4 linked regions of the Drosophila melanogaster genome follow. The protein of the gene in region 2 interacts with the protein of the main gene of each other region in a pairwise test. Each region holds a gene or a part of one and is shown on either strand. Other genes may lie near its edges. The genes, in order: CG32987, CG12355, CG10063 and Wwox.

Region 1 (4,032 bases), on a different chromosome or scaffold from region 2:
GGAGCCATGAATGCGATCAGGATGACGAACACTATGGCAAGTGCCAGGAGATACCGCATATCATTGATGATCAGGAAGAGTATTAGCAGGACGATCATGGTGACGGTGAGCAGCAGAAAAATGCAGCAAGTACAGATAATGTTGGGTAGCAGAACCTCCGGACTTTTGGCCCCATACAAATGCAGCAGGGCCAGCAGGGATCCGGCAACCAAAATGGCAATCAAAAGGACCCAGACGCGCACTAGATGCATATAATACGCTCCGAACAGGGTGAGAAAGAACAAGGATCCCAGCACCAATCCCCAGCATAACAAGGTCAATGCTGGAGTCTGTGCGATGCAGCCGAGCACTGAGAGAATGATGAAAGCTAATATCAGCCAAACGAACGGCGGCACTGGAATTGCCTTGTAGACCCTCACAGCGAGTGCCGACAGTATGATCCACGAAATGGAAGACAGCAGGCACAGCACTACGGAGGATAGGTACACCCGGAAGATGAAGGCCCGCAACTCCCGCTCGTTGATGACTAAGACCTCCGGTCCCTCCGCAGGAACTGGCTCGCCACCAGGTCTTCCGGTTCTAAGGCCATAACGACCCCAACCCCGATTGCGATTATTCATGTGTTAATCAATTATTTTAGGTCAATATAATGTAATTTTGAAGAAAAAAGCAAAGTAAGTGATTCATTTTCTCTTATATTGAGACTAGGACTTTTCATAATACTCTGGCTTTATTCTAATTGCCTTGCAATGAGAATATATTTATATTTTCTGTACCGCCTAGGCTACACCGCACTAAGTAATTAGACTGGATGACAGTATCCTTTGGTCTGGAACACCATAGTAACTTGCCAGATCGCTAATCAGTTTCGATCACACAGTGACAGCTATTTCTCTCAATCAAAATCATTTTCGAGTGAAATTTTCGGAGCTTCAGATGTTTGTCTGATGGCCTCCTTTCTCTCGTCGACCAGGATGAAGTAGCACACGCAGAAGAAGAACATCATTGAATGCAAGTATAAAGTCAGGGTGCAGACCATGAGGTGCTCTTCGGGAACCACTTCCACGACGTTCAGACGGCCATGGTTGAACTGCGCCTGAATGGGGATCGCTATGATCAGCATCAGGAACAGAATGCTGACGAAGGTGTCGAGCAGCTCAACACTCCCGGTGCAGAGCTGGACGATTCCCACAATGGTCAAGACCAACAGCAGTGCCATCATCAGCAGCGTGGAGCAAACACCGCCGGGCAGGAACTCCTGCGGGCACATGGCCCCAGAGAAGTTGAGTAACATAATGATCAGGGCCACGCCGATCATCACGAAACTGATAATGAGCGGGCTCAAGTCGTGGATGAAATGGCAGCCAAACAAGGTGGTACACACAACCACCAGACCTGTCATGAACCACTTACAGGGAGAGTAGTAGGATATTCTCGGGATACAATGCATGCATATCATCACCAGAAAAATTATTAGAGCCAGGACGTAGCAGGGAAACGGAAGGTACCTCTGCAGGTGAATATGGGTCAGCATGAGCAGAATCCATGCGCCCACCGTAATTCCGATAAGGATCAGGCCAATGTTATAGATGCTGCGGATGAACTGGGTCATTGGGTCCAGCTGCTCGATCGTCGGCCGGATGTTGTCCTGGTGGTAAATGTTGTCCATCCCGTTAAAAATCCTTATGGACCGAGTGTTAAGACTAGGTCTGGCCTGCACCCTGACACTTACCTCCTGGCAAAGCTGCTCACCTTCTATATCTTTTATTTACAAATTGGTATCTTTTCTCATTAAAGCCTTCTTTTTATTTTACACGGACACGTTAAATTAACTCCTATAACTCTCACCATTTGGGAGCCCAGATGACAAAGTAAAAGGCCGCAAAGAACAACAGAAAGTGCAGATAGATGTTGACGGCGCAAATAACGAATTCGTAATCGGGCAGCTGGAATCGCCTGGAATGAACCACCTGAGCATGGTAAACGGATGCGGGTATTAGCAAAGTGGCCAATAACGTGAAGTACACCAACTGGTAGATCCAATTGTCTGTGAAGATATACATGGTCATCACAAAGATTGAGGACATCACGAAAATGACGAGCAGGAGGAACATGGTCCTCTCTCCGGGGAGGATGATCTTGGGTATCCATGCGCCAGCGAAATAGCATATCACAGTCATGGCGGAGGCCACCAGAAGGGCAATGCACACGCGGGAAAGGTTCCGCTCCAGGAGAAGCAGAATAACGCCCAAACCTGCCAGACTTACAAACAACCCGGCCATGATGAAACTATACCAATAAAAACTCCGCAACTTGGTCAAAATACAGAAGACAAAGAGAAACATTAGGGACACCATTGCACTTATGAATCCTGCCATTATAAGATCTGCCTCCGGAGGAATTACCTTGGACAGGATTATGGCAAGGATCGCAGTTGTAGTCGAAAACAATCCAGCCATCATGTAGCAGCGCCGCACAAATATTATTTTCGACGAGTCGCCATTTCCGTTGTCCAGTCCTCTGGAGCCTTCGCCTTCCACAACCGAACGTCGTGCCCTTAATCTACGGGGTGCTAAGCGAAGCTGGTGTATCGAAGGATGCTCGTATCGAACCAAAGTTCCAGGAGCCTGCTCTTGCTGCTGTGGCAAAGGAAAGTTGAGAAGCTGGAGGGCTGGTGGATAGATGACCCAGTCATTTCTTAAACTGCCTCCTAACATTGGGAGCACTTAGAGGGCAACCACTTAAAATTTTGACAAAATATTTATGGCACACCCTGATTGGGTACGAAGACATCCCTAAAAACATAAACAATACTAATACTACTAAAAATTACTAATAGCCAAAATAATACATAGCCTGTAAATCTGATTTAAGAACTGGAAATATTTATATACACCGTATATATATAACAATTATCCTAAGATTAAGATTCGCGGAAGAGATAATTACGGTGACTTACCGAATGCGATGGCATGCATAAATATTTAACATTTTATAAATCTAAGCAGTATTATTCCGTTCGATCAGGGCGGAAAACTCAGCGAGGCATGCGGAATTCCAAGGGGACTACAAAGCCTGCAAGGAAAATGCTAAGTAGCTCCGATCAAAGCTAACAAAACAGCCACAAAGGATGCTTACTCCTTTCCCCTGCCTGCATTGTTTGTTGTTGTTTTGCTGATCGCTTGAGTGACACGCAAAGCAAAGGATACAAGGATACACTGGAGTAGAAAGGCGATCCCGAGATGTGTTTACTGCCGCATCTGCGGCCTCGATCACAATCACTTTCACAGACGGTTGATGCTTGATGGTTGACGGTTGGACGGCATTGTTCCGGCTATGACTCAATCTCAATCAGCTGGCTACGCTTATCCTTGATCCCCGCTAAAGACATGCAAATGCCAAGGCAGCAGGCGATCGGGGAGAATGTCAGTTATCTGGCAGCTGCAGCTCAATGCAATAGATACGCTTGCAGTCGAAGGAGTATAACCCTTGAGTTGCCAATCAAGTCGTTAGCTCGCCTGCTCCTCATGATTGGATTATTGAGTTGGTAAAAAGTGAATACCTTTCGGAAATTGAAAATCAAGTAGCGGATGTCAGTATTAGGATTAGATTCTATTTTCTCTGCAAATTTATAAAACATTTTTAAAGCTAAAAAGAGCAACTAATTTAAAATAACTCATACGACTTGTTTATTGATCTTTCTCTTGCAGATTTCGGCCTTGGGCCACATACATATATATGGACTATTTACTATTCTACAATGGCCCCTTCAGGGCAGGTCAATGTACCATGGTATAACATTTTCGGCTTATATTTTCCACCCACACAACGCTGACAACGATGAAAGGGCCAACGACGAGAGGTCGGGAGGAAAGTGAAAGCGTTGGCAAGTGCTTGACAACAACGACATGCGAGCGTATGCAGTGGACCAGGCCATTACAATCCACATCACCATCCTAACCCCACCTCAGACAGCCCCGGACAAACTAACGGCATTTCCCCCGTCGACTTTTCCCGGCCCTAACTTCATTT
Region 2 (5,411 bases):
ATTACTACGATTTCTTTCAGTGCAAATGGAAAACTGTGAGGAAAAACAAGGAGGTGGCCTCAGATGGGCGTGCGGTAACTACAACACACACGCATATTGACAAATTGCAATTTAAATAGACAACAATAAGTTAAACAGACGCACACACTCAACGCATTAACATGGGGCGGATATCGAAGGGAGTTGGCAGCCGAAACACGCCACGTCTAATTAGTTTTGCTGGGTGCTCCGTAAGCTCGTGGGTCAGGGGTCATGGGCATCAGTCGGCCGAGATGGTAGAGATGAGCAATAATTAGGCAAAAAGTTAATGCGATCGGGGAATTACAATGCATTTAGCCACGGATAGCTGCCATTGAACAAGAGACATAAATTAGGGAACAATATCTAATGTAAATGTTAAGGCAAAACCCACTTAAACATACAAAAGCTCTTATAAGTGACGAAACCTGATTACTACTATGGATAGCAGTGCACGTAGTGACGAAGCGCACCTGGTTATGTTTGAACCAAAAACAGGGATAATTTTAAAAAATTGAATTTTTTGTTATATGTCACATAAATTTTGGTTTAGGGAGTTCAGTGCACGGAGTCCAGCGGGATACGCAGGATAGTTCTTTATTGTTTGAGTGTGGCAAATGTTGATGGAAACATTTACGCACACACGCACACAATTTAACGCGCTTACACACGCTGATAAACAGCAGACACACACACACACACACAAGCTCGCACTCACAGAAATAGATGAATAGAGGGTAAGTAGTAATTGATGAGTTTCCGTTTATGGGAACATCAATCATACGCACTGTATACGAACGCTTTGCAATCAGGTTAAATAAATAAGTCTACCACACTATTTGCTTCTCCTTTATTTGGCAATGCATGGTCAAAAACTATCTAGGACTATATACATGGTTATGGTGTATGGTGTATATTCAAATCTCATGTTTCGGAATTCCTTATGGCAGCTGCATTATTATTTGAATCAGTTGCAATTTCTTTCGTTGCGACTGGAAGACTTTGCCGCTTGGTCCAACATAGAATATTCACCCAAATCAATCCACAAATACCCATATAGATGACACGGAATCGGGGTGCAACCAGGGAAAAGTTCAAGGCCTGCGCGGGCAACCAGAAAATGCAGGAACGCATAAAAGTCGGCACGAATTTTTCGCGGAGTTCCAGGAAAATATCCGCAGAGCCCTCCATGATGGACATGCCTGGAAATAGAAATTAGTTTGTTAATTGTCAAATAACAGAGAACATGTGTTAAGCGTACAAAAATAAACATGAAAATGTATTATTAATTTAATATACATTAATTAATCTTTACATTTGAGTGTATCAGTGGAACTTACCTGCATAAAACACAGTCAATAGATAAGGCGTTAGTACAAACTGATCAAGCACTAATTTTTTAACTATGATAACCTTAGTGGTGCCAGGAAAAGCGCGATCTAACCATTTGTACCTAGGAAATTGATTATTTGAATTATTATGCTTGATATATATGCTTGATTATATTTAAGACATCAAAGTAAAAGCTAAAGCAGGCTAGGTAAGCAAGATCTTTTTTTGGTGTATATATAGTGCTTTTGGAGTTACTTTATATAGTGTGTTTGCATATTTGTAATCAATTTATGGTGTTAGTATTTATTTATGTGTAAGTGTTTCATACATTGTGTATGTGTTTGTGATATGTATTTATAATATTCCGAGATCTTTATTCCCTATGTTTGTATATCCTTGTGTGCATCTTGTTTTCTTTTGTAAGTTTTGTTTTTCGAATCCAGATCCCCAGTAGCCAACTTCCAACTTCCCAAACTTACGTTGCATTTTGACTTTTATGTCGTGCAAATATGCCCAATTTCTCAGTGCGTTGCGTGCTTTTCTGGGCAGCTTTTCCCTCTCACTCAATTAAAGAGGAAAAGCTTGGTGCTCTGGTGGCGTGGGTGCTTCTAAAGAGAAAGTGTGAAGAGAAAGTGATAAAAATGGCGGAGAGACATGCTCTTGACTTGCGACACGTGCTCATGGAGCTTTACCGGAATCGTAAACAAATTGATAAAAGTCAAAAACAACAACAGAAGCGTACGGCGAAGCAAATTGAGGAAATAAAAAGAATGGTTAAATGGCAAGCATGTAAGTGTGAGTAAATTGAATGGTCCACAGATGTGTTAGTATGAACAGCCTCGGCCAACGTAATAGCTCCGATTTATATACTAATATTTTAAGTTGACTGTTTTTGCTCTAAAGTGTCGTTTTTTAGTCATAACATAAAATCAGAAATTTAGAAATAAGAAATTATAATGAAAAGTTATAGATTTCATGATAAACAGATTGTATTAGAAATCAAACAAAAAAGCAGAGCTACTATGTCGACCATCACTGTGTACATGTGCAAGTAATAATAAAATGTGGCTATGTATGTACAGATTCATAAAACTGAGGGCACGAACCAAAGGTAAAGTGTTGGGGCATATACTGCAGTACCCATCACGGCATATCTTCCTATTGTTGCATAATCGATATCCTCAGGTTTGCTCGCCGTCTACGGGGCACATAAATAGGATTAGAAATCGCCAGATCGCCCTCGGATATATCTCCAAGCTCATATTCTGCACATGAGTGTCTGTAAATGATTTTACTTACGGCCAACCAGCGTTTGGATGCGAATTGCTGGGAATACTCGGCGCCCACATAAAGGCTCCCATAGATGGCGCTGTTGGTGACGAATGGATATCGATGGAACAAATTGCGAACTCCCGAAATTAACCGAGCCATTATCTTAATTGCTTGAATTTTGATTAATATTAATAACAAATTTTTTGTGACAACTTTCTAATGAATTTTTTTTGGAAGCGGCCAGCCGCCAGCGCTAACGGAGCTTTACTGAGGAAAATTCCAAGCGATGGCTCAGCTGTTACAAAAGACAATAAGTGAAAAGAAGAGAGCCAAAAGAGAAAGACGGGCAGCTAAGAGAAAATAAAAATGTTTACGTTTTTTGAATGCAAACAAGAGCGTGGAGTAAATCTTTCTTGTTTAATAAAAGCTTACAAATGCAGTTACCTAAGCGATATCTTAGACGGCCTTATCAGTCTTCACAGATTAGATTTAATTCTATTACTTACTTCCAGCATTTTTAATAATAATTCATCAACGAAATTTAAGGAAGTGTAATTTTAAAATAATTTGGTAGGCCATTGAATAATGGGAATTGCTTAACAAGCTCGAAACAATGTTAAAAAATAGAAACTATCAGGAAATTGTGATGATGGGCATCCAAGGAACCCAGATAAGAGCTGCGGCTGAGTCTTCCAACACTCCATTGAAATCGCTGAATGGATTTAAAGATGTGAAATAAGCATATCCAAAAAAAAATATTTCATTTTTGATTAGGATTTATATTTGGGTTGATTTGACGAATTTTACGGCGACTATTAGTTTTTTATAAACTCTTACAAACTCAAAAGCAACCATTGTACAAAATATTTTCCACTTCCTTTCAAAAAGCGGTTCAGTCTGGATTAAAAGAACGAATATTCATATTTTATTATAAATTATGAAATATATAAACTATAAAATCGGATTATTATATCCGGTAGCTGTCATAGTAGCAGTCGGAAAATTAAGTGAACCTCGTATAATTAATTGTCAATAGCAGCGATACTATAACCTTTGTATATCTAGTTAAATCTAGTTAATATGCTGCAATTTACTACAATAAATTTTTTTACTTGGTGCAAAAACATCATCAAGGATTTTACTGAAACCCATGACGTAAAGGCAACTCTCGAGTATTCTCCACAATCTTTACCGATTGCAAAATTGCCTCAATCAAGTTTACAATACGTATGTATCGCTCTTAATCAAGGATACATGCAACTCTCTATGTCAGCAAAACCAAAAAATGGAAAAACTGAGGAAAAAACAACAAAAGTTTGGCCCATAAAAATGCAATAAGTGTATCAAGTCTTGGCAACCCTTTTTGGCTAATGGCAATTTACGCACGACTAACAAACACCAGAGGAAAGCTGTGAAGGCAGTTGGGAAAAGTCGGGAAAAGCCTTCAGAACATATGCGAGGGAATGAAATCGGTGGCGGAGTAACGACAACTTTGATTGAGTGCCGGGAAAACTGAAGGCAAAGGTGTTAAAACTGAAAGCAATTTAAAAAGTTGTGCGATACCATATGGAAAGTGAGCCCGGAAGGCAGCAACTTTCGGATAGCTGTTGGTATACTCGGAAAAATCTAAGAAAAGCTTCAGAAACCAATAAGAAGAAATTTACATAATTTAATTTGTTTAAATTGTAGTAAATATTGCTATATTCATAATAGAAACCACAACTTTTTGACTTCCTGCTGTTTAATTAGAAGTCTAAACATTGATAGAGAATCAATTCTACAAAAAAGCTAATATCTTAAAAGCATCTAAAAGTATCTGTTTTTATATTTATTTATTGTAGTGTACCGAGCACAAGTAGGCAGTCATTTAGTGACAAACAAGCCGAGCACACAGCGCAGCACACACCTGAGTACTTTTACAGTCAGGTGACAAGACGGAGACATCGACGACGACAGCGACACGAGGTGGGAAAGGACCAAGGATGAACCTGAGCACCCTTCTGAGGAGTGTGAGCAACGGTCTTGGCTTCGGAACCGTCACGAGAAAGAGCGACTTGGGTCGTCCCCTGGCCCCTCTTAGCTCCACGTCGAGCTCGTCTTCAAATAATTCAAATTTGGATCCCGTTTCCAGTCTCTTACTTCCCTCGGAGGACGAAGAGGACGAGCCCATATCACTGGGCGAAAATCATCTGGCCTCAACTGATGCCAGCCTGAACAAAAACCAGGAGCCCAATCCCTACCAGCAGACCGTCCAACAGATACTGCGACTAGTGAATGAACTGGAGCACACAATTCACGAGGATCGGCAGCAGGAGTTCAAGCTCCGAATGGCCCTCGATCGGCAGACAGAACGGGTTCAGGAACTGGTGTTTTCACTGGACACGGAAAGGAAGCGAAACGAGCGACTGGTGCAGTTGCTCCGGGGAATCGATAGCTCCAGTTCGAGTGAGAGCGATCCGGAGAAGAGGGGCCCCAGTGGCTCCCATGTGAACTCCATTGGTGAGCTGTACGACTCCATCAGTCCACTGCTGATGCAACAGCGGTAAGTTTTCAACAATATTAGAAAAGGGTATACATATGTAGGCACTAAGTATTCTGGCGCATTTTCAGTTACGTTGAGCTCTCCGTGTCCCATCGCCAAAGTCGTCGGCAGTTAGCCAAGAGGGAAAAGGCTCTCAAGGTACTTCAAAGCAAAACGGAGCAGCTGCACTCCAAATACGACGAGCTATTCGATGAGTACCGGAGTGAACAGCGCCGTTTCGAGATGCTGTGCACTCGCTATATTCAAA
Region 3 (3,987 bases), 8.5 Mb from region 2:
TTAGCTCCAGTGGTCCTCTGCTGGCTGAGGTTGACTTCAAGGAGTATTTCGAGGTGGTCAAAGCCTCTCTAGCTGCCTACAAGCCCGAATGCGTGGACGCCGTGACCCGCAGCTTTGCGCAAGTGGAGATTCTACTCAAGCACATGATTGGACAACGCAGCCTGGACGAGAAGTTCAAGTGAGTGGATTAGGCTATCGTCCTGCACAAATTTTAATTTTGTAAACCATTTTATACTCAGAACATGCACTCCCATCAAGGACTCCATTGAAAACGACCTGGACATGGCCAATTTCTTTGAGAATCTGGCTGGCAACTTTGCTGGAGTGGTGCAATACAACAAGGACAACAGTCCCCATGCCACCATCACCATTGACGACGTGTGTTTCATCCTCACTTTGATCCCTATCAAGTCCATACTAAGAATGTTTGAACTCCATAGATCTGCGATGTCATGCTAAACACCACGGCTGGTCCACCTGTGACCCGTTTGGGCCTGGTCAACGATATGCTATTGAAGGAATCGAACACCACCTGCCTGGACTACAAGTACGACAAGATGGTGGCGGACATGAAGAACGTTTCCTGGGACTCGGAGACGGCCAAGGGAATGCGCCAGTGGACATATCAGACCTGCCACGAATTCGGCTTCTATCAGACCTCGGATAACCCGGCTGACACATTTGGTGATCGCTTCGGTGTCGACTTCTTTATACGCCAGTGCATGGATGTGTTCTCCAAGAATATGAACGCCAAGTTCCTCAAACTGGTGGTGTCCGCCACAAATGATAACTATGGCGCCCTAAAGCCAAAGACCACAAATGTGTTGTACGTGCACGGTTCCATTGATCCCTGGCATGCTTTGGGCTTGGTCAAGTCCACGAACGCAGCACTTCCTACCATTTACATAGAAGGTATGTGCTTACCAACACATTTTTCACATATAACTTGGGTAATGTAAGCATTTATTGTGTTTTTTTTTTTAGGAACCGCTCACTGCGCCAATATGTATGAGCCGGTGAAAACCGATCCGCCACAACTGGTGGCCGCTCGCAACAAGATACTCAAATTCTTGGCCAAACTACTGGATGGCTACACCTCGGCGTTAATCTGATGGAAAAGTGGCCAAGTCAAGTGTAATTTTGTACTCGTCAGCGAGTTGTTTTATTTTTTGCTTTCGCATGAGTTTTATAATATATTTTTCGGCTCCGCTGGGAGTTAATCCTTCTTGGCCTGCTCCATTTTTTCGTGGAATCGCTTCCAGTAGTGCTGCACCTTGGCATTTTGAACGATATTGTGCTCGACAAAGTTGAGCAACCAGGTGGCGGTTAGGTAGGTCAAGTCATAGAAGAAGGCAACCACGCGAAAGAAATACTTTTCGGTCTGCTCCTTGCTAGGCAAGTTGGCCATGACATCCTGCAACTGCTTGGCGGCCGCCTCCTTGGCCTCCGATGCCTTCTTCTGCGCCTCGGTCATCTTGTCCTCGTTCGAAGTGCCCTTGCTGCGCACGATGGTGCTGGCCTCCAGTGGCTCAGCTCTGCCCAGTTTACCGCCTGCGTTCACTACGGAAATAGTTGGCGCCTGCACCTCGCCAATGGGCACATCCTTACGCGTGGTGTTCTCTGGGTTATTGCCCAAGGTGGATGGAAACCCTGGAGCCGCAAATCCAGGCGGCACGTTCTTGGGCTTCTCATCGCCGCCACCTTCGGCGGAGAACTTGCGGTCGAGATTCAGGAACAGAGCACGCGGGCGCACAGTATTGCCATTGAGGCGATTCAATGTGGAGTAGTCTTTATGGTGGGAAAAGGCGTTAAAGTTTGCTAAGAAAAAAACACGTGCCTGCTTCACTTACTCCACGCTGTGACCAGTGGTCCCGCCACCGACTTACTCCATTTGGTCATTACCATGGCGCGAATCATTTTCCAAGTTTAAGCAGATTAAAAATTCTTCACTGAAGCAATTGACAATTTCAACAAACGAATTAATCCAAAATGCCTGACAAAAAGCAGAATGCGGCAAGGCCAACTTGACAATCATCAGCCAGAGTTGCAACTCTTTCCGAAGAAAATCCCATTTTTTTTGGGAAAGAACGCTAAGTTCAAAAAAGCTAAACCTAAAACAAAATTACTGTTTCTAATATATTTATGAAAATAGGCACAAGCTATAGCTCTAAATTGGAATATACACTAAACTAACTGAGCAATGATCAACATAATTTAAGGATCCTAATATTTATTTTACTAAGTTGTCAGCTCTGTAAGCGCACATGAAATAATAAGCAGCATTGGCAGCATTCAAGTACGAATGGTTATTTTGTATAAATTGTCTTTTATTTAGGCTATTACTAAACATATTAGTAAGTTTACTAGTTACATTTTAGGGCTTACAACTCCAGGCCTTAGGTTCACCTTAAATAACGCTGTCAAGCTCTTGGCAAAGAATAAACGTCCGGAAAATGGCTTGCGCCCAAGGAGACACCTCTGGGGATTTCTGGATGTGGTGCTCCCCTTGGTCACCGCCATTAGCCCGCGAAACTTAACTAAATTCCAAAGGGAGCCGATCGGGTTGAGGTTTTAGGATGTACAAAACCCACCGGCTGTCCTTTGTCGAACTTTACATTTGTGTGGTTAGGCTAATGTTTAAATTAGTTAGCTTATGGGTGCAATTTAATGGACACGGTTAACTAAATTGCAGCTGGTTAGGTTATTTGTTCCGCGACTACTGGCAACCAAATCGGTTATTAAAATTACGTGTGTCAAGCATGTAACGCATTTAAAACATATATGGATCGTACGAGCGTAAATGTATCGAGTTCTTAGCGTTTAATGGAAATGTTTATGCGCGTTTTCCTTTAATACTACGACGCCAGCTAAATAATGATGATCTTGTGCTCCGCCGCCCTCTCAGAATAAGCCAATTTGTTTCAGATTGTTCTTGATGATCACATCGGTGACGGCATCGAAGACGAACTTCACGTTGTTCGTATCCGTGGCGCAGGTGAGATGCGTGTATATCTCCTTTTGGTCTTTTCGCTTGTTCAGGTTTTCGAACTTCATGCGAATGTAGTTGGCCGCCTCCTCGAAGGTGTTGGTTCCTAAAAGTATATCAAGTTAAACAAAAATGTAATCGTTTTCTACACTCTTATCTTACCTGTGTACTCTGGGAAGCATATCGTCAGCGGAGATCTCTTGATCTTCTCCTCAAACAGATCCTTCTTGTTGAGGAACAGTATTATGGATGTTTCCACAAACCACTTGGAGTTGCAGATGGAATCGAACAGCTTCAGGGACTCAATCATACGATTCATCTCTTCGTCCTCGGCCAATACTAGATCGTAACCTAGCGAAATATATAACAATTGCATTAGATTCCTAAGATTCGTAGAATATTTGACTTACCTGATAGCGCGACGCAGAAGATTATGGCCGTAACGCCCTCGAAGCAATGAATCCACTTTTTGCGCTCCGATCGCTGGCCACCCACATCGAAAAGTCTGTGGCGAAAAAAAAACATAACCATTAGAATCGAATCAACCGGAAGTGGGCAATTAATGACAACTCACTTGAAGTGCAGCTGCTTGCAGGAGAAGTGTGTCTCGATGATGCCAGTGGTCTTCACCCGCGTGCGTAGCACATCCTGCTGCGTGGGTATGTAGTTCGGTTGCGCGATCCTATCCAGCGAATTTAGATAGTATCCCGCCGAGTCATTCAACTGATATTCGCGCGATCGGGCGAAGCTCTGCTGTACGCCACCGTCTGCCCAGAGTTTCTTCATCAGGAGCACGATCTCGGGCAGCAGGATGCCCTCGTCGGCGGCAGAGGCGTGTGTGAAGAACTGGCGGGCAATGTCCGTTCGGCTCGGATCGGCAAACTCGATCTTCAGGCGTCCCATTGCGCGGATGATCACCATTAGACTCTGCACCGTGTTGCTGAAGACGACGCGACGATACTCCTCGCATTCCTCCTGCGAGTAGCCCGTGTCATGGATGA
Region 4 (7,712 bases), on a different chromosome or scaffold from region 2:
AGTAAACACACAAAGTGTAACTGCGACTAAGAAGCGAACAAAAACGAAGATTCGCCGGCATCATCTTGCATAACCGATAAAGGAAATCCAAACAAAAAACAAAATGCAATCCGTGACCAGACAAACGGCGCGAGTCCTGCCCCAAATGGGCAAACAAGGTGTGTGTGTGTGTGTGTGTGTGTGTGTGCGCACTGTGCTGGAGTGGCGATGCTAACGTTCTTTCAATTTTTCATTAACAGTGAGCTATCTATCGACGAGTGGCGCTTGGCGGGCAACCGCCAGCGGTGGCGACATGGTGGTCGAGATCAAGGAACCAAAGACGCGCACCGAGAAGCTAATGGCCTTCCAGAAGAAGCTGCGCGCTAAAACGCCGCTGGGCAAGCTGGATGAATTCTCGCGACATCCGTACCAGGAGAAGGAACCACTCAAGCCCTGGCCCAATCAGACCAATCCGTATACGGGCGAGATCGGCGGACCAGCCGGGCCGGAGCCCACACGCTACGGCGACTGGGAGCGCAAGGGACGCGTCTCCGATTTCTAGTGCCCAAATGAAGAGTTCCTTAACTAGTACTTAGACTGTTATTTAAATGCTAGCCATTAAGACTTAAAAACAAATCAAAATGTATACTTGTTTAGTGTAAAAAGAAAATACATGATATTCTTAACGTACAAAAGTTTATTTGCATTGCACTTATTGGGCAGAAACTATTAAAGAATTCAAAATATATCTTTGTAATGAATAGCTGGTTTAAAATGTAAAATTATACCTAATGGAATCATTGGTGGTAGCATAATGCATAAATATATTTAAAAAACAGTAGCCAAATGACTTGGCTAATGCTGCTCCTGCTCCACAAGCTCGGCAATCAGGTTCTCGCTCAGCTTCCACAGTTGCTGCTGCAGTGCAGCACTTTTGGACAACTTGCTGGGCTCGCAGAAGAAGCAATTGTTGAAGTACAGTCCAGACAATCCGGTCAGCTCGTTGGCCGTCGCACAGTAGATACTCGTGGCAGCCGCTTGTTGCTGCCATATGGGGCACAGAAAGCAATTAGTGAAAGTTAAGGGAAAACAGAGAGTTCTTCTCATTGCCAAACTCACCAGCGACTTGGTGAAGGGACGCACAATGGCAAAGAGCAGGCGGTAGAACCAATAGTTTCGTGACAAATCGCTGGACACCATATTGCCCGGATGCAGGCTAAAAACAGAAATGCCTCGCTGCTTCCAACGCTGCAACAAAAAAACAAAAAAAAAGGGTTGGCAAGTGGAATTCAATTGACCCAATTTAAGGACTCACCTGGGCGAGCTCCTGGGCGAACAAGACATTGCATAGCTTGGCATTGTTGTAGGCCATCATGCTCCAGTATTTCTCCGGCGGCGGCGAAAGGTGATGCACTGCCAGATTCTCCACGGGCAGGTTGGCAAATCTGCATGTTAGTTAGTAACTAAGATTATTTGCGACGCATTTCTTTGTCGGTACATGAGACCCACATGAACATTTCTCGTCCAAGTGAACTCACTGGACTTTGGCCCCGCCGGCCGACAATCGCGAAACGAGTCTTGATTGCCATTGCCGGCTGGCATAGCCGGCTTTAAGCGCTCTTTATTAATGAGATGCAGAATTAGCGCAGTGCAGGGCGCACAAAGGCTCCCCACGAACAATGGCGTGAGTCAACAAGTGGGGCCGGCGGAACAAAGCCCCACAATCGAACAAGGACCCTCTGATATGCATAGTGAACTCTATGGCGAACTATCTATCTATGTATCTATCTATCTATCTATCTATCTATCTATGTATCTATGTATCTCCAGTTTTCGGCGGAAGCCTCTGGAATCCTCGGCAGTAGCGCATGCGCAAGTCGCACATTTCCTGCGAATCCACGAATGCCGCAACATGAAAACATTTCTATACACAAACACATATCTGCGCGCACATTTCTGGACTTTGGATTTGTTTTCATTTTATTGAATATCTGCGCTCGGCTTGGGGGCGATGTAAATATAACGTCGCAAAATGTATGCAAATTCAGTGTTATTTATAAGTATGGGTATCCATTGGCATCCATGACAAATGAAACCCGTTGGCGTTCCATTTTTTTTCTTTTTTTATATATGTATATTTGTATCTTGTTGTGGTAGGTAAGCAAAAAAGCGTTCTTTTCGACTGTTTGCATGTAAATTAATTAGGTTCTACAGACAGATAAATTGCTGCTGAATGGCATTTAATTTTAGAACAATAACTCGTTGCTTTACCTTAAGACTCTAATTGAATTAATAATTGTTTAATGTCTGGACAACTTTTCCCACGCAAAAATATAATTATTTGAAAAAGAGAAACCTTAAATAAAAATATTTTATCTATGCAACAATGAATAACCCAATTTTTGTGAGCTGATGCAAGAATAACTAATTGTAAGTAATCTTTAATGTTTGAAAATGATAACCAGTCGAACTTCCATACCAACATTCATATCTTTTTCTCGCCCGTGTGAACGTGCAACAAAAGTCTCGTGCGCCACATTGGAGTACTCGCAGATAGTCATGTATGCTCCGCGAAGCCAAAAAATGTTGTACGTGAGCACAGCAACGAACGCAGCAGATACAAAACCACCTCCAATAGCCAGTATGTATGTACATACATATGTACATCCAGTTCAGTTTGAATTGGTATTGTGCCTCTTCACGAGATTCGCTCACCCAGTGATTTATTTGGTCTTTGACAGCATGCACAGTGAGCCATTCGAGCGGCCACAAATGAATCAATCTAATTAAGCGAGTTAGCGCTGATAAGGAAAATTATAGGGGCACTTTTTACATTTATAGTATCTATTTAAAGCATGCTAGTTTTGAACATTCAAAGTTTATCTTACAAAAAAAGTACTCTGCTTGGATTTATATGCGTAGCTAATCTGAATGTGTTTTAGTTTTAAAAGAAAAACAAAAATACTTTCTTCAGTTTAGTTAATTTATCTCATAGATATTTTTTAAAGAAAGATTACAATCATATTTTCAGAGCTCTCTACTCCACTGTGCTTACAGCTGCACGTGAGTTCGATCATATTGCTCTATTGTACGCACGTTTTTGGTTTTGATAATACAAAAACCCAGCTGCGTTGGCCTCGTAATTGTTTATATTTATGTGTTTCTTTGTTTGCCTCTGAGTGCGCAGCACAATATGTAAACGAAGCCTATGAATAATATATACTCATATATGCCAAGCTGAGTTCAATTACGTTTCGCCTTGAAATCGAATCAAACGGAAAACATCTTACGCAAACAAATCTGAGGCAAATAGGCAAACATTTTGGAAAACATTACACTAGACGGCATGGCTGAGGCGGAATGCATTTATTTCTGGTTTGGTCTATGAATAGTTTGGCCCCAAAGTGCGAAAAAAAAGAAAACGCTGGGTGCAAAGTCCACTATGCGGAATCATAAAAGTGCAATCAACTTGCAAAAATAAAAGAAGGCAACTCGAAATGGCAGACACACATTTAAAACTGATGGTGTCGAATACGAAATAGCTATTGAATTTATAACTACATTAAATAAATTAAATTAATATTGTAAAGTTATTAAGATAGTTAAAACATAAAGTATATAATTTTATTTTATTCCTTATTAAAAATATATTAAATATATATATTTTTAGAATGTGACATGCACCAAATTCAGCTTCAATTAAAATACCCGTGTGATTTTGATAATAATCATTTTGCACACAAACAGGTTGCAATAATGACAACTGTTTGCCGGCCAAAAACAGAAACAAAAAAATAATAATTATTAAAACGAGATTAACAGTGCTGACATTGAGAAATTTAATTAGGAAAGAAATAAGCCAAATTGATTCAAGAAAATAGGTTTAAGAAATTATATATAATACATCAATTTATATATTTTGAAGCTTCGATGTATTTTATTTAACTTAAGTAGAGACGATTTTCTATTGAGACAGTGACTGATAGTAAAATTGATACAAGAAACAATACGATCGAATTGTAAATAACTTTTTAATTCCCTTACTGATAGTGCGAAATATAACCAGTTGATTTTGTATTTCCCATGTAACCTTTTTTAACATATATCTTTTGAATACTTAATTTTTAAGATTGATCTATTGATATTTCATACGAAATATAAAACTTAAGTTCAGCGGTTAGTTTGTAACCTTTTATACACACCATAAGAATATATATGAATTATTTCGTAACTGGTATACTCTATTACCCCCTCCCTCCCTAATTACGTGCTAAAGTGCTCAAATTCACACTTACCTGTGCGACTCGGATGACAGCACAATGATCCGTGTTTTGTAGTCAAACAGTGTCTCCAGTTGCAATGTGAGGTAGAAATGCGACAGGTGCGAGACCTGGAATGTGGTCTCCAGACCATCCACGGTCCTCGTGTAGGGCAGTGCGAATACTCCGGCATTAAGGATGAGATAATCAATGTGGCTGCAATATAAATATAATTATCAATTAAATAATATTAGATTTTGAAAGCTATGCTACTGACCTAACACTCTGCTTAATTTCTTCCACAAATCGCTGAACTGAACGCAAAGAGCTCAAGTCGAGAGCGGCGAATCGACAGCGGGAACGTGCTGCAGGTCGCTCCTGGGCAATCCTTTCGATGGCCGCCTCTGCGGAGGATCTGTTCCGGCAGGCGAAGATGATCTCACAGCCGTGATGGGCGAGCGAACGAGCCGTCTCGTAGCCAATGCCACAATTTGCGCCCGTTATCAGCGCGGTGCGTCCATGCAAATCCTTGCCGTGCAGCACCTGCAGTGCCGTCGAACAGGAGTCAAATCGCTGGCGCACCTGGGCCACATTCTGTGTGGGCTCCTCCACGGCGAATGCCAAACGAGGATCCACATTCGTTCGTTGCTGCGTCTCCTTGTTGAGGAACATGAAACGCTTTCCCTGCTCATCGTAGTACTTCTCCCAGCCCAAGGGTAATTCGCCCGTGATCCGTTTGGAGCGACCCGTACGTGGATGTGTCCACTGTGATGTTTTTCCCTGCTGGCTAAATGGTGCAATTAAAAAATATCAGACAATGTTTACGACTCCACTGGACTTTTGACTTACTTCACATAGCAAACGGTGCCGTCATCGGTGGCACGTTCCTCCCAGCCGGGTGGCAGCTCATCCTCGCTATCTGTGTCGGGTAGGGCTATCATTTCGAATCAATTTAAACTTATTTAAAGCTTTATTTCTAAAGTATACACTTTTTATTGCGAAAAAGAATACAAAATAATTGAAGATATCGATAACATGCGGCTTAAGCGATAACTGCCGACTAAATGAACAGCTGTTCCGTTAAACGAAACATGTTACCCGCTAATAATCAGCATCTCCGTTTAACAGAGCTTTTAACCGCAACCGGTTGATTGGCGGTTGTTTTTTAAATTTAAATGATTTGTAGAAACTTAGCGCCTTGAACATTTGTGGGCATTGTTTAATCTGCCTGCTGTACGGTACATAGGATAATGTGAAAAGATTCAACAGCAACAAAAACCAATACAAATTTTCATAATTTACGTTTTAATTTATTTTTCATCATTGTGAATGATTTATTAGTTTCCTAACTATAAAGTCAACGAACTTAGGTGCTAAAGCTTAATAACTTATGATCCTAGAAACTAAGCGGCCGCCGGGGGCTCATTTATGAGTCCGTAGAAGAGCACCAGTTTCGTGGGATCGTGGCGCACAAGGACCATGAATGGAGTGTCTCCGCGGAAGAGGACATCGGGACCGGATTTCTTGAGGTATGTGACCGAAGACGCCGCCGCCTCCGTGCCCTGCTCGTTGACGGTGAAGTCCACTTTGTGAACAATGTCATCCACCACCAGATCGGAACGTGCTCCACCCGTTCCGGCTCTGCGCTGTGCCTCCAGATTCTGCAGGCTGTTGCCGCCCAGCGCATTCGTCCTCGTGGCCTCGTTGGTGGCGATGAGCGAGAGATCATTCTGCACCGCGCTAAAGATGCCGCCCAGCCCCATTCGCTGCATGACTGTCTTCAAGTTCACCGACTCCGTAAGATGCATCTTTGGGAATGCCACCAGAGCGGCCCGTCTGTACATTCGGCTGATCATGCTCTCGATCTTATCCGCCGTCAGACGTTTCTGCAGTGCCATTAGCTCCCTCACCGACGACTTAAACGGCTGGATGATGTACATGGTGCTCAGATTTCCCCTGTACGGCAGTCCAATGATCTTGCAGCCCAGCTCGTGATCCTCGTGATACGGATATGCACCACCGGTGGCCATCATCTGCACCCTCATCACCGGCTCCGTTCCCTCGCCATTCGGATAGAAGTTATCCGGACGTGTGGCTGACTCTATAAAGTCCGTTTCCCAGAATGCCTTAAAGTACAATGCGTTGGCCAGAATCATCCTGGTGGTCTGCGGAATATCGCTGGCGATGATGTTCTCGATGTGATTCTTTGTGTGCTGCGCCACATAAGCATTGATATTGTATCGTGCTGTCGCCGGACTGCCCTCGAAATCCTGAATCTGCAGATCCGAGGCGTAGACCTCGACGATCACCCGTCTGGAATTGCACAAAAGTGGAGCTCATGAGTAATAAATCAACAAGGCGCAGCTATTAGTATGCCAACAACGTTGTGCAAAGTGGAGCGATAGTATTGGGGAACTGGGGATGGGTTGGAATTGCAATATCTGGTGAGCTAAATAATAACTTGGGAAAGTAGTTTTTTTCCGCTTTTTTTGCAATGTTTGATCAGCTATAATTGAAGAATAAATAAATAATTAAATGTCTTAGTTATGTTTTTAAGTTAATCCATTCTTATCAGTGCTTTTTATTTGCCAAATTTTTGGCAATTCATTGTACCTACTATTTGACCTAAGGTTTCTAATTAAATATTTGATTAACTGATAATTCCAATTCCAATTCCGATTTAATTTTATTCAAGTTCTCTACATAAAAACAATCGCACTAAAAGTTCTTACTAAATTTGTTTGTCAATGGTTCCCATTTATATTCTAAACTTTATACGTACGTACGTACATATATATTTCTCAATGAAAGCTTGGGCTTTAAAGATTCATAAATATAAGTGGAATTACACGCTCATTTCTACACAGAAAAATATATTCTAATATTTTCTCGTTGTATATTATCTTCGAATATAAAATAAATACTTCCTTTTGGAGCACCACCATCAAGAGACACTAAACGCTTGATGATAATGGGTGAGATCATTTTGCTGGTACAATGAACCTGTTTCCCTCACTTGGCATTCAGAAAAGGAGATCACTTTAGCCCGCATGGCCTTCAGTTTTTCACGGTGTAAAACCTCAAGGCGATCGCTAATCGTTTGGCATTTCCCAGCACCCATTCCCAACCAGATATCGCTATAGTTCCAGTTTGCAGCCGGATAATTATCCGCTGCTCGGCTCACCTGTAGTCGGGATTGAGTGTGTAGCCGGTCTGTGTGAACAGTCCATTGGCCAGGTGCACCTCATGAGCACCGGGTCGCTGGGCCCGTCGATTGGATCTCATCGCGCTGCTCGCCCGCCAATCGGTCAGCGGTCGTCCTGCGGAGATCGCCTCCCTGGTGGGCTGTTGCAGATCCTGCAGCATCAGGCCGAACTGTTCGTGCAGCCTGGACGTGTCCGGAATATCGAAGACCGTGGACAACTCCTCGTAACTGCGACCCTTGGCGCCCAGGAGCAGCAGAGCCAGCGAGTG

The links.
Region 1: the proteins of CG12355 (region 2) and CG32987 interact in a two-hybrid assay, tested with the Drosophila melanogaster proteins (one large-scale study listed by BioGRID).
Region 3: the proteins of CG12355 (region 2) and CG10063 interact in a two-hybrid assay, tested with the Drosophila melanogaster proteins (one large-scale study listed by BioGRID).
Region 4: the proteins of CG12355 (region 2) and Wwox interact in a two-hybrid assay, tested with the Drosophila melanogaster proteins (one large-scale study listed by BioGRID).

The regions. Positions count from the first base shown.
Region 1 is NT_033779.5:8,861,492-8,865,523, reverse strand, and holds CG32987 (uncharacterized protein), read right to left. Parts: upstream 1,714-4,032; 5' UTR 1,670-1,713; coding exon 896-1,669; 3' UTR 677-895; downstream 1-676. Other genes in the region: CG32988 (uncharacterized protein), read right to left, coding at 1-620; CG32986 (uncharacterized protein), read right to left, coding at 1,845-2,717.
Region 2 is NT_037436.4:15,492,111-15,497,521, forward strand, and holds CG12355 (uncharacterized protein), read right to left. Parts: upstream 3,440-5,411; 5' UTR 3,129-3,439; intron 2,895-3,128; exon of another isoform or gene 2,793-2,894; 5' UTR 2,782-2,792; coding exon 2,650-2,781; intron 2,549-2,649; coding exon 2,457-2,548; intron 2,168-2,456; exon of another isoform or gene 1,830-2,167; intron 1,472-1,829; coding exon 1,359-1,471; intron 1,221-1,358; coding exon 943-1,220; 3' UTR 854-942; downstream 1-853. Other genes in the region: CG13455 (uncharacterized protein), read left to right, coding at 4,605-5,164, 5,233-5,411.
Region 3 is NT_037436.4:6,970,442-6,974,428, forward strand, and holds CG10063 (uncharacterized protein), read right to left. Parts: upstream 2,027-3,987; 5' UTR 1,918-2,026; coding exon 1,851-1,917; intron 1,789-1,850; coding exon 1,217-1,788; 3' UTR 1,138-1,216; downstream 1-1,137. Other genes in the region: CG9953 (uncharacterized protein), read left to right, coding at 1-178, 240-378, 441-912, 985-1,112; Galphai (G protein alpha subunit i), read right to left, coding at 2,902-3,092, 3,149-3,337, 3,397-3,491, 3,561-3,987.
Region 4 is NT_033779.5:7,999,010-8,006,721, forward strand, and holds Wwox (WW domain containing oxidoreductase), read right to left. Parts: upstream 5,278-7,712; 5' UTR 5,180-5,277; coding exon 5,088-5,179; intron 5,026-5,087; coding exon 4,516-5,025; intron 4,455-4,515; coding exon 4,275-4,454; intron 1,425-4,274; coding exon 1,295-1,424; intron 1,228-1,294; coding exon 1,099-1,227; intron 1,024-1,098; coding exon 835-1,023; 3' UTR 661-834; downstream 1-660. Other genes in the region: Sirup (Starvation-upregulated protein), read left to right, coding at 104-158, 240-541; Spn28Dc (serpin 28Dc), read right to left, coding at 5,642-6,551, 7,423-7,712. UniProt on the Drosophila melanogaster protein: Putative oxidoreductase. May control genotoxic stress-induced cell death. May play a role in TGFB1 signaling and TGFB1-mediated cell death. May also play a role in tumor necrosis factor (TNF)-mediated cell death. May play a role in Wnt signaling.